Saccharomyces cerevisiae S288C: one gene and its partners. The gene in region 1 interacts genetically with each later gene. Each region holds a gene or a part of one and is shown in the gene's direction. Other genes may lie near its edges.

The links.
Region 2: mutations in YLL006W-A (region 1) and AYR1 together harm fitness more than expected from each alone (negative genetic interaction), as found in Saccharomyces cerevisiae (one large-scale study listed by BioGRID).
Region 3: mutations in YLL006W-A (region 1) and YER186C together harm fitness more than expected from each alone (negative genetic interaction), as found in Saccharomyces cerevisiae (one large-scale study listed by BioGRID).
Region 4: mutations in YLL006W-A (region 1) and BER1 together harm fitness more than expected from each alone (negative genetic interaction), as found in Saccharomyces cerevisiae (one large-scale study listed by BioGRID).

Annotation. Positions count from the first base shown.
Region 1 is NC_001144.5:134,712-137,021, forward strand, and holds YLL006W-A (uncharacterized protein), read left to right. Parts: upstream 1-1,633; coding exon 1,634-1,810; downstream 1,811-2,310. Other genes in the region: LMO1 (Lmo1p), read right to left, coding at 1-1,588; ERMES complex subunit MMM1, read left to right, coding at 1,875-2,310.
Region 2 is NC_001141.2:124,602-127,600, forward strand, and holds AYR1 (acylglycerone-phosphate reductase), read left to right. Parts: upstream 1-1,602; coding exon 1,603-2,496; downstream 2,497-2,999. Other genes in the region: alpha-ketoglutarate dehydrogenase KGD1, read left to right, coding at 1-1,132. UniProt on the Saccharomyces cerevisiae protein: Can convert acyl and alkyl dihydroxyacetone-phosphate (DHAP) into glycerolipids and ether lipids, respectively. Required for the biosynthesis of phosphatidic acid via the DHAP pathway, where it reduces 1-acyl DHAP to lysophosphatidic acid (LPA).
Region 3 is NC_001137.3:561,131-564,553, reverse strand, and holds YER186C (uncharacterized protein), read left to right. Parts: upstream 1-1,928; coding exon 1,929-2,849; downstream 2,850-3,423.
Region 4 is NC_001144.5:946,369-949,772, forward strand, and holds BER1 (Ber1p), read left to right. Parts: upstream 1-1,999; coding exon 2,000-2,824; downstream 2,825-3,404. Other genes in the region: high-affinity Cu transporter CTR3, read left to right, coding at 885-1,610.

The DNA of each region.
Region 1 (2,310 bases):
AAACAACAACTTTTGTTCTGCCATTAGCTAATGCCTCAGAACCTGGACTTGTTAAAATTTTATTGTCGAATAGATAAGGTAAATCGTTTGTTTGTGTTTCGAATTCTCTGGCTAATAAATTTGCGTGGTTATCTGAAACTATGAGGAAGTAGACTTTAGGCGTGCCAGCTTCAGGATTCAGTGGGTTCTCTGCGTAAACCCACGTTCCCTTTTGCAATTGAAGAAGTCTTTGATGACGAACGTAATCACGAACCTGGCCTGATAGCATGGTATCGAAGCTAGCGATACTAGATGACCAGGTTCGATACTGTTCTTTTTTGATTGAGTCTAATTGTAATGTTCTTGCAAATTTATATCTCATAGAGTCAAGTGCAACAACTTGGGTCTTGAGAAGGGATTTCGTCTGTATTGCTGCTTCCAAATCACTGGATGACAAACAAACATATTTTAAAGTGATAATAGCTAAATTTAACAGTGAAACCAAATCACTTTGCGATTTTGCTAATGATTCTATCCAAAATCTCAAAAACAACTCGAGTGTTTTGTAAAAACATGTTTGTCGATTGAGAACAGCGGTAGCAATTTGTAATTTTAAATCACGCTCTGAGTCTGAGTATTGGTTCTCTTTTTTCCCACTTAGATTGAAAAGTCTTCTAAATTGGTCTGAAAGTTTAAATATTGCTTCATAAAGAGGGAAATCGTTCTCGCCAAACAACAATTGTTCAGTGTAAAGTCTCTTGAAAGACCCATTAGGACTGTTTAAGAATGTGAATGTATCATACGCATTTAATAAATTTATACTGGGAAGATCGCCCATTTCCATTTCTAACCCTTTTTGGAATACGGAGTTATCTTTGATGGCTGTAAGAAGATCAGCTTTAAGCGAACAGGAATAATCATCAATACTAACCGAAGATAGAAAATTTATTAGCCTCTGCTTTAACGGTACAAATTCTTCAAGGATTAGTGGTTGCAAGTCTTCTATGTAAAGTAATTCAGACATGGAAGCTGGAAAGTTATACTGAAATAGCAAAATGAGGATTCTGGGTACAAATTCTACGGCGTGTGATAGTGATGTCTCACATAATGTAAGTGAGCATTTTAAAAATAGGGTTATGCATAGTATAGTGTCCGTAAACAACGGTATATGAATAGGTCTTTGGGACAAAAGTTGTAAAAGTATTCCAATGAGCTGAGAGTTCTCTCTGGAGATGTGGCAGATGCTCACAATAACTTCATTCTTATTAGAATCTTGGCATTTAAGGGCTACATTAAAAATCCTAATGAGATTTGCTACCAACGTTTCTGACCTTAGCTTTTGGCAATTATCACACAATATAGCCCAAAATCGGGAATCTGGAATTACGGTTTTACATAGGTATTTTTCATCACAAAGGAGGATATAGTTTGCCAATAACTTTTCGTATTCATCACTTGTCTTGTTCAAATTTTTATTACTGATCAGCGTATGATAGCAAGCTTTTGATTGTGCACTCGTAAGTGACTTGACTGGCTTTCCTAATTTAGGATTCAGTAGCACTTTTATGTTTTCCAAGCTTTCATCTGGCATCTGCCTGTTATGCTTCATTGCTTATGCCGTTATTTGAGGTTACTTTAATCTATTTTCCTACTGATGACACAATTGAGTCAATCCAACGTGGAACGGGTTGCCCTTGTATACATTTCAGTTTACTTCTTTTCATGTATTTCCTTAATAGTTTATTTTTTCACTTTCTGCCTATCCGTTTCAATTCCGAAGAACCGTCAACATCCAATAAAGATCATCTACAACAATAAGTGCCCCTCATAATTTTCTCAATGAGATGAAAGAACTTTGAGAGAGTCAATATAATACCTGTAGCCTTTTTCTGAAAATGACTGATAGTGAGAATGAATCCACCGAAACGGATTCGTTAATGACGTTTGACGATTATATAAGCAAAGAGCTACCTGAACATTTACAGAGACTAATCATGGAGAATTTGAAGGGTTCTACTACTAATGACTTAAAGCAAACTTCAAACAACTCAGAGTTTAATGTCAGTAAAAACGGGAGCTTCAAAGGTCTCGATGATGCAATTCAAGCTTTGCAAATGCAAAGCGTGTTGCATCCTTCTTCGTTAGGATCGTTAGCAACGTCCTCCAAATTTTCTGGATGGTCGTTTGCTCAAGGGTTTTTTGTAGGACAGCTAAGCATAGTGTTGTTGTTCATCTTTTTCCTAAAGTTCTTTATATTCAGTGATGAGCCATCTAAAAGTAAGAATCCGAAACCTGCAGCCTCCCGTCACAGATCAAAATTTAAAGAATATC
Region 2 (2,999 bases), on another chromosome or scaffold:
ATCTATTGAGACAGGTGAAGGCATCGATTGGGCCACCGGTGAAGCATTAGCGTTCGGTACATTGGTTTTGGATGGTCAGAACGTTAGGGTTTCCGGTGAAGATGTAGAAAGAGGTACATTTTCTCAACGTCATGCAGTCTTGCATGACCAACAATCTGAAGCCATTTACACACCGCTAAGCACTCTGAATAATGAAAAGGCAGACTTCACCATTGCAAATTCCTCGTTATCTGAGTACGGTGTAATGGGTTTCGAATATGGTTATTCGCTAACCTCCCCAGATTATCTAGTCATGTGGGAGGCTCAATTCGGTGACTTTGCAAATACAGCACAGGTTATTATTGACCAATTTATTGCCGGTGGTGAACAAAAATGGAAGCAACGCTCTGGTTTAGTTTTGTCTTTACCCCATGGTTATGATGGCCAGGGGCCAGAACATTCGTCTGGTAGATTGGAAAGATTCTTGCAACTAGCCAATGAAGACCCAAGATATTTCCCATCTGAAGAAAAGCTACAGAGACAACATCAGGATTGTAATTTCCAGGTTGTTTATCCAACTACGCCTGCTAATTTATTCCACATTCTAAGGAGACAGCAACATCGTCAATTCCGTAAACCATTGGCGTTATTCTTTTCTAAACAGCTGCTGCGTCACCCATTGGCCAGATCATCTCTTTCCGAATTCACTGAAGGCGGATTCCAATGGATTATCGAAGATATTGAACATGGAAAAAGTATTGGTACGAAAGAGGAAACCAAGAGATTAGTTTTGCTGAGTGGCCAAGTGTACACTGCCCTACATAAAAGACGTGAAAGTTTGGGTGATAAGACCACTGCTTTCTTAAAGATTGAACAGCTGCACCCATTCCCATTTGCTCAGCTACGTGATTCATTAAATTCTTATCCAAACTTGGAAGAAATTGTTTGGTGCCAGGAAGAGCCATTGAACATGGGTTCGTGGGCATACACAGAACCACGCTTACACACAACATTAAAAGAAACGGATAAATATAAGGATTTCAAGGTCAGATACTGTGGTAGAAACCCAAGTGGTGCTGTTGCTGCCGGTAGCAAATCACTACATTTGGCCGAAGAAGATGCCTTTTTGAAAGATGTTTTCCAACAATCCTAAAGATGAATTCAAATATGAAAAACATGAAAATACAGCCATATAAACACGTAATATTTTTACCTTAATGTTTATGGACAGCCTTTTTACTTGAAGAATGATCTAACAAATATTTTTTTTGATACATTCACATTTTTTTTTTGTTCATGATGTTAGCATCTGCTTAGTCTTTTTAAAATTATTTAATTTAACGTTTTATTTATGTGAACCTTTTTTTATTAGTTGTATTTACTATTTATTCAAGAATCATTCTTTACTTTATATTGATATCGTTTTTTTCCCCCTACTTCCTCCTCTGGTGTATTCACAGCTAGGTGCTTCTCTTGTCCTCATCCGGTGGAGAAAAAAAGTGAAAAATAAGTCAATGGAAAGGGGGAAGGGGGTAGGTAAATAGAGTGAATAAGTTTTATTCATCATGCCCAACTTCTATTAATATATACTCAATTCAAATATTGATCAGGATTTCAAAGAGTATGTCGGAGTTACAGTCACAACCTAAAAAGATTGCCGTTGTTACAGGCGCCTCAGGTGGTATTGGATATGAGGTAACGAAGGAATTAGCCAGAAATGGCTATTTGGTTTATGCATGTGCAAGAAGACTAGAACCAATGGCACAATTGGCCATCCAATTTGGTAACGATAGTATCAAACCATATAAGTTGGATATTTCCAAGCCAGAAGAAATTGTAACATTTTCTGGTTTTTTGCGAGCTAATTTACCTGATGGTAAATTAGATTTATTGTACAACAATGCCGGTCAGAGTTGTACATTCCCTGCATTGGATGCAACAGATGCTGCAGTAGAACAATGCTTTAAGGTCAATGTGTTTGGTCATATCAACATGTGCCGTGAATTGTCGGAGTTCCTTATTAAAGCGAAAGGAACCATTGTCTTCACTGGTTCCTTGGCAGGAGTTGTGTCATTCCCCTTTGGTAGCATTTATTCCGCTTCTAAAGCTGCTATCCACCAATATGCTCGTGGGTTACATCTAGAGATGAAGCCCTTCAACGTGAGAGTGATTAACGCTATTACTGGCGGTGTGGCTACTGATATCGCTGATAAAAGGCCCTTGCCTGAAACCTCAATATACAACTTCCCTGAAGGTAGGGAAGCTTTTAATTCAAGAAAAACCATGGCTAAGGACAATAAGCCCATGCCAGCTGATGCGTACGCAAAGCAACTGGTTAAAGATATCTTGAGCACTAGTGACCCTGTAGATGTTTATAGAGGAACGTTCGCCAACATCATGCGTTTTGTCATGATATTTGTTCCTTACTGGCTATTGGAAAAAGGACTTTCCAAAAAATTTAAATTGGACAAAGTTAATAATGCTTTGAAGTCGAAACAGAAGAATAAGGACGATTAGTGTTTCACCATCGTCAATAGCTACCTATATTTATATACAAGATTCCGTATAGTTTGTACACCACGTCAGGACATCAATAGCTAATAATCGTTCTAATGCTAATGTTCAACTGCTCTTTAAGTATTGTTTACGTCTCGTCGTACCAGTATGCCAAATTCCTGTCACTTCACTCATTCTCTTTGCTCTTACCGTTTGAAACGCGCTGGGACGGAATTCGCTCATTTCGCATCGTGCTTTGTTGTTTTTTTTTTTTCAAAATTGCCATTGTTTATTTATAAACTACATGAAATTATTCTGTATTTATCTTCGCATTCCCTCTCTTACTTCAAAAGTGAGAACAGCATATTCAAATATATATATCTACTCAGTTGAATAAGACACTATAGCAAGACCATTTGAACTGAAAGAAACAGTTTCTTTGCTCCCCTCTCGAATTCCAACTATTTACAGTCCTTCCTTTATAAAAATTAACTAGCGAGCAAGAAAACATTTGTTTAGTGCTA
Region 3 (3,423 bases), on another chromosome or scaffold:
CTGCTAGATGGAAGAGTTGCGTACAATACTTTTTTTTGAAGATGAGAAAACACTGGCTAAGGTAAAGCAGGTTTCCTGTAAAAGCTGCTAAACCGTCTTTCACGGTTTTGTAATCAAAAAGGCTTCTTACTATCCTTTCCCAGAACGAAATCATACGCATATTTGCCCACATTGTTAAGAGTTTGAATCATTAAAGCAACAATATACTACTAGACCTCTATCTTCTTCAAACCAATAGGTTCTGCTGTCGTAAAAGCATTCTTTTATCAATAACTGTAAAATGTCGTTATGAAAGCCCTTCGTTAGTCTCTTTGCAACCTCCAGCAAACTTGCTGAACTTTCTTTTTCAATGGTGTGTGATCTCTATATCTTGTGAGGCTTGCTATGTTTTAGTAGAAACCATTTGGTTTTTATTATCGAAGCAGTGTATGAGCACAGTGAGAGCTTTATATTGTGACAAGAATTGCGTTTACCTTAAAATTTCGAAGTACATTTCCTTGTATTGTCTAGGTTATGCTGGTTAGTTAATGGGGCGGGAAGTGGTTTAGTAAGGTAGAGGTCCCGTTGGTTATTTTTGTGGAGTTAGGAAGGTTCAATAATGTCAGACATCCGTTAAATAATTACATCTATACAATTCTTAAAAAGAAAAGAAGCGCTTTGGGCAAATTTTGAAAACAGAAAATCGCACACTTCTAAGTTCAGTCCCTTTTAACATTCATTCAAAGCTATTTTCTAGCAATTGTTTGTTCTTATATCTTACACCTTACATGCCCGCAAAGGGATGATCTTACTTTCGACAGGTAGATGTTATATCAAGATATAGATGATCTTTGAAGTCAAAATGATGGCACAGTAATCACTCATTTAGCTATTTCTGTAGTTAGTTTGTATAATGAAACGATATTAAAGACAGGGATCACATACAAGTTAAAAATTTTGTATAATCAAAGAAATAAAATATCTTCCCTTTACTCTTCTTTGCATTATCCGCCATTACACTATCAGACACTGCAGAGCAATAAATCAAGTAAAAGAAAATTTTTTTAGTATAATTCAGCTTCAAGTGAAGTGACTTCGAAATTGAAACTCCATTACTGTCTAATATAAAATTTGATGGAAATCGAAGTTAAAAAATCATCGGAGAATATAATCTAGCTAAACCAACAATATTTTTATTGTACAAATCTTCGTTTTACGTACCGCACCTGACCAAGTGGTTCGCAAATTTGCGAGTAATTTTACGTCTGTATGTTAAGGCTTGTCGGGATCTACCCCTCTTCTTGTGTTCCTCCTAAATTTCTATTAATTATATAAAGATTGGCATATGACAACGAGAGAAAATTTTATACAGAACAAGGTTACAGGTAAATTGTAACACATATTTGTTACAATAAGAGTAAAAAAAGTCTTTCCGCAACACGCTATACCTGATGGATGTTTTACTCGAATTAATAAAGTTATATAATTCAAATGGTGAGTCTCTTCTGTTTTAGCTAATTATGCACCTATTTTCTACGACTTTAAAAGTTTAAAAGATCCAAGTCGAGTTCTGCCTGAATTTGAAACTAATAACAAGCCTTTATTAGGTTTTGGGAAGGGTTTCTTGATTGCATTATACGTCTTAGAAGAGGATGAGGCCCAAGGTTTTGATTTTCTTGGAACGCGCAACCATCATCAGAAATAAAATAAAATTATTGGTTGACCTTTTTTACCTAAAGGAAAGTCTGAAAATGCTGTTGCAACAACGGCAGCGCCCTGCTTTAAGCAAGGCACGTGGTCCACCAAGAAAATAACTAAGAGGATGAATTCTCCTATTTTAAGCCAGGAAACTAGTCAGTAACATACGCCAAGGAAATGAAAGCATAGGATGCGGGCTGATTACCGAAGTCAAAGGTTCTAGTATATGATCGAGTTCTGTAAACAGTATCATGCTGTGGCATCCTGATGGTTACGAGCCTCGAGTAAAGGCTATAGAAGAAGAAATCTACGCTAACGAAGACAGGAAGGATGTTCCGGATAAGTTTAAATTTGATACTGTAACGAAAACTGGAATGGTCAAGCTTCGTGTTTTCAAAGACGATCTAATATTCAAATCACAACGATCTATAAATCTGTTTGCAAGTAGGAAGCATCCCTTCAAGTCATTTACGGCGGATGGAGAGGGCTTGCCGTTATTTGCCTTCCGCACTAAGAAGCCTTTTTTTGTTAGGCGAGATTATGTGGGTTTTCTTTTTTATCAATACGAGATATTGAAAAATGGGGACTTCCCTGAAGAGTCGGATTATGAGGTAAAAGGAGAGTGCGACGGTTTCACTCTGTTTAAAGTTCTTTTTTGCACTGTTAAGGTGAAGAAAACAAGCTATTATCGCAATAAGGAGAGAATATCCCACATACTAGAGCTCAACTTCGGAAAAAAGGAAGATTTTAGGATATTGACACTGGTTAGATGCTCTGAAATTAGATCAGTATATGTTGTAGAGGATAAAAAGGTTATTATGAAATGGGTTTTCACCTCAGAGAGTAAATTTAATTTGAATTCCTCACTGTTCATCATAAAGGCCGCAATTGGCTGTTTACCAGAGGTGGGTGATAGCATAGAGGACATACCTAAATTTGATTGGGACTCCTGCCCTACTATTGGATGTATGTGCAGAACTAAGGAGGCTCTTTTTCAACCTGAGTCTCGAAAAGATATGCATATATGCCCTCAATTATTTTTAGGGGAAACCGGACCGCCACATTATAATGAGAGTTCAGTTCCGTGGCTAACAAAAATGAATATATGCATTTCAGTGCTAATAAATTTCCTTGAATATACCGATTTCATGTCTTGGATGCAGGATAATTAGAAATTTCTATTTAACACTGCAGAAAACTGTGTTCATTTAAAGAAATTCTTGCGGGTTAATGCTATTATGATATTTTCTGTTGATTTGGTGATAAATTATATTATATGCTATATACTAATTCCTTTGGAAATAAAAGAAGGCCTTAAAATTACCCTGCGGAGGGGACTATTAAATAGAATCATTTATATGAATACTAAGGAGAGTTCAGTATCAAGATAACAACGAAAGTTTGAACTGCTAAAATTATTTTCAAGTATTGCTGACCGTTAAGAAATTTTCTGCTCCATTAATTCATTGAGGCGAAGACAAGCGCACTTTTACTCTTGTGTTTATAAAGCTAAATGACATTGTGGCTCACTTCAATAGCCGTACTCTTTGAACTAAAAAATAATTCTAAGACACTGAGTTTCACGTCAATTGAAAAAAAATATATAACACCAGCTTCATTACATGTTAGTGTGCCTTTAATTTGGCGTTAATACATTCTCCTTGACACATACTATACATTGATTCTGTGATGAGTACCGATATAGGAGGCCGATGTGCTGTTCTTCTAGACGAGTTTTTTGTAGCT
Region 4 (3,404 bases), 810 kb from region 1:
GTAACCAACCATATTACAAGTCACAAATTGGTAACATTTTCCTACTCAACGGAAAAGTGATTGGAGGAAAGTCGACAAAGGCTTCGTTAACATGCACTTCAACTACAGAAGCAGAAATACACGCAGTCAGTGAAGCTATACCGCTATTGAATAACCTCAGTCACCTTGTGCAAGAACTTAACAAGAAACCAATTATTAAAGGCTTACTTACTGATAGTAGATCAACGATCAGTATAATTAAGTCTACAAATGAAGAGAAATTTAGAAACAGATTTTTTGGCACAAAGGCAATGAGACTTAGAGATGAAGTATCAGGTAATAATTTATACGTATACTACATCGAGACCAAGAAGAACATTGCTGATGTGATGACAAAACCTCTTCCGATAAAAACATTTAAACTATTAACAAACAAATGGATTCATTAGATCTATTACATTATGGGTGGTATGTTGGAATAAAAATCAACTATCATCTACTAACTAGTATTTACGTTACTAGTATATTATCATATACGGTGTTAGAAGATGACGCAAATGATGAGAAATAGTCATCTAAATTAGTGGAAGCTGAAACGCAAGGATTGATAATGTAATAGGATCAATGAATATTAACATATAAAATGATGATAATAATATTTATAGAATTGTGTAGAATTGCAGATTCCCTTTTATGGATTCCTAAATCCTCGAGGAGAACTTCTAGTATATCTACATACCTAATATTATTGCCTTATTAAAAATGGAATCCCAACAATTACATCAAAATCCACATTCTCTTCACTTCTCCGATAGACTTGTAATTTATCTTATTTCATTTCCTAACACTTTGATCGAAGAAGAGGGATAACAACAGACGAAAACACATTTAAGGGCTATACAAAGATGAATATGGGAGGCAGTAGCAGCACTGCTGCCAAAAAAGCGACTTGTAAAATATCGATGTTATGGAATTGGTATACCATTGACACCTGCTTCATTGCCAGATCTTGGAGAAATGACACCAAAGGAAAATTTGCTGGTTCTTGCATCGGCTGTTTTGCGCTTGTGGTGGTAGCTCAATGGCTTACTCGTTTTTCAAGGCAATTTGACGTAGAGCTATTAAAAAGACAGAAAATAAAGCATTTAGCTAGTTACTCGCCAGAGGAGTACGTTGTCAAATGTGGAGAAGAGGATGCTAAATCTGATATAGAAGAACTACAAGGCTTTTACAACGAACCAAGCTGGAAAACAACTTTAATTTCCTTACAAAAAAGTTTCATTTATAGTTTTTACGTTTGGGGTCCAAGGAGATTGAACGAGCCAGAAGACGACCTGTTAAAGAAGGTCCTATCATGCTGTACATTAATAACGCCAGTGGATTTGTACCCAACTTTTTTGGATCACATGATAAGAGTTACTATTTTCGTATTACAGTGGGGGTTATCTTATATCATCATGCTGCTGTTCATGTACTATAACGGCTATATCATTATTAGTTGTTTAATAGGTGCTATCGTTGGTCGTTTCATATTTTGCTATGAACCTCTAGGCTCATTGGGTGCTAATGGATCAGCCCAGGGTACAGTGAGTTATGATAAAGAGAGTGATGATCGCAAATGCTGCTTGTAGAAAGACAAAAATGAATAGAGGAAAGCCGAGAGGTTTGTTTCAAAAATTGACGCCTTCCTCATTTTTTTCATAATTAGCTGGTAAAAGTTACTATTTGTAACGACTGCTAAATAACAAATAATTATTCGTGTAAAAATAAATAGCTAATACCACCAGGTGTTCATATTCCATGACTGCATATTTGGGAAACGAGACGGTTTGAACATCCTTAGTTGATGTAAAACTATAATAAAAGCTCTATGGGAAGTAAACTATCTGCGGGTCGGGTAAGGAATGATGCTTGCTCGACGTGTAGCGATGAAAAAAGTGAAAACTTATTTGAACTCTAGAAAACTGCTAAGATCCTGAACTGATACCGAAGTTAATGACCTTGACCGGTCTTCTGCTGTATGGATTTTAAAGCAAGTGGGACAAAGTTTAAGAAAACTGGCAAGAAGGTAGTGCCTGCTAAAGCGTTTGAAGAAATTGTTCAGACAAATAGAGATGTTCTGAAAAAATCAGCATTCCTCTCAGATTTACTTGAAAATTTACAACCGCACCTCAATAACATTAAGAAAATACGATGTGTTGCAATTGGAAATTTCAAGGAGGATTTTCCTGCGACGTACCAATTCGCTCTTCTCCTAGAGATTACTGATTATATAAAAAGTGAGGATGAAAGGGATGTCGTTGTTTCCCTGTATGATCCAATATTTACTAAAGAAGAGATACAGTACTTGAAAAGTTTAGGAAGCAAATGGCTGATAGAGGAAGAATTTTCAGAGAACGATGCAATTGATTATGAATCGGTATTATATTTCCTTCCCCATGCTCCTTTGGATTTAACTGAGAACATACTATCGTCACAGCGACCACACTTATGGCTGGCAAATAATATGATATCACACACCGATAGATACACCAAAGCAAAACTTTGTGAAAACTATCCTAATTTAAGCAAGCTAGTTCATTACTTGCAGACTAACGCTCCGCCAGAAGTTAAAAAAGCACATGATGTAGATGGTTTTGCAACATTCATTCCAAAGAGAAAAAGAAAAAACAGAAACAACTCCTCTAAACTCAAGGTCACACCATCTGATATAGACTATGATTCAATAGCACCGAAGTTTAAGTCCTGCCAAATACTCACCGATTTTGATGAAGGAAAGTATTTGAAGGAAAAACCCTGGATCAATTCCTTCTCTGACTTGACGTTACATGCTATAGAGTACTAACATATCATTCACTACATAGTACTTTATAACTAAACTGTAACCTTTCAGGGCATCGTAACCTGACGCTTTACCATCAATAACGACACGAGACCGCTTTATCTATGATACTGGAACAATCAACATGATTGTTATAAATGTACTCGACAGGATCATGAAAGGATACCAACTTAGTTGCCGGTTCATTGAAATGGAAAGCTCAAGAACGTATACTGAAAGAGAGCGACGTCTACTTTGCCCACAAAAATCTACTCTCTGAATTGAATAGTATTTAGAGATTGCATAATTCAAGCCCTCCTCGAGGAAAGGATATAAATGAAAATACCGTTTTTCCTGCTGATGGTTATCGTCCCTGTCAAGGATACTTCTCGGACTCGAACAACGTTACAGCTCAACTTAAAGAAGGCTAAATACGACAAGGGCGCTTGCCCTAAGAGGAACTGTTTCTAAGTTCTAACGAGTGCCTGCGAAGATCGGTTTTTTTTAACTTCGCGGGCGAATTGATAAATAAAGTTCTTCTTGCAATTTTTTAAGATCAAGGTTGGGGCAAAAAGGACGCAAACGAATGGTTGGGTTAAGAAAG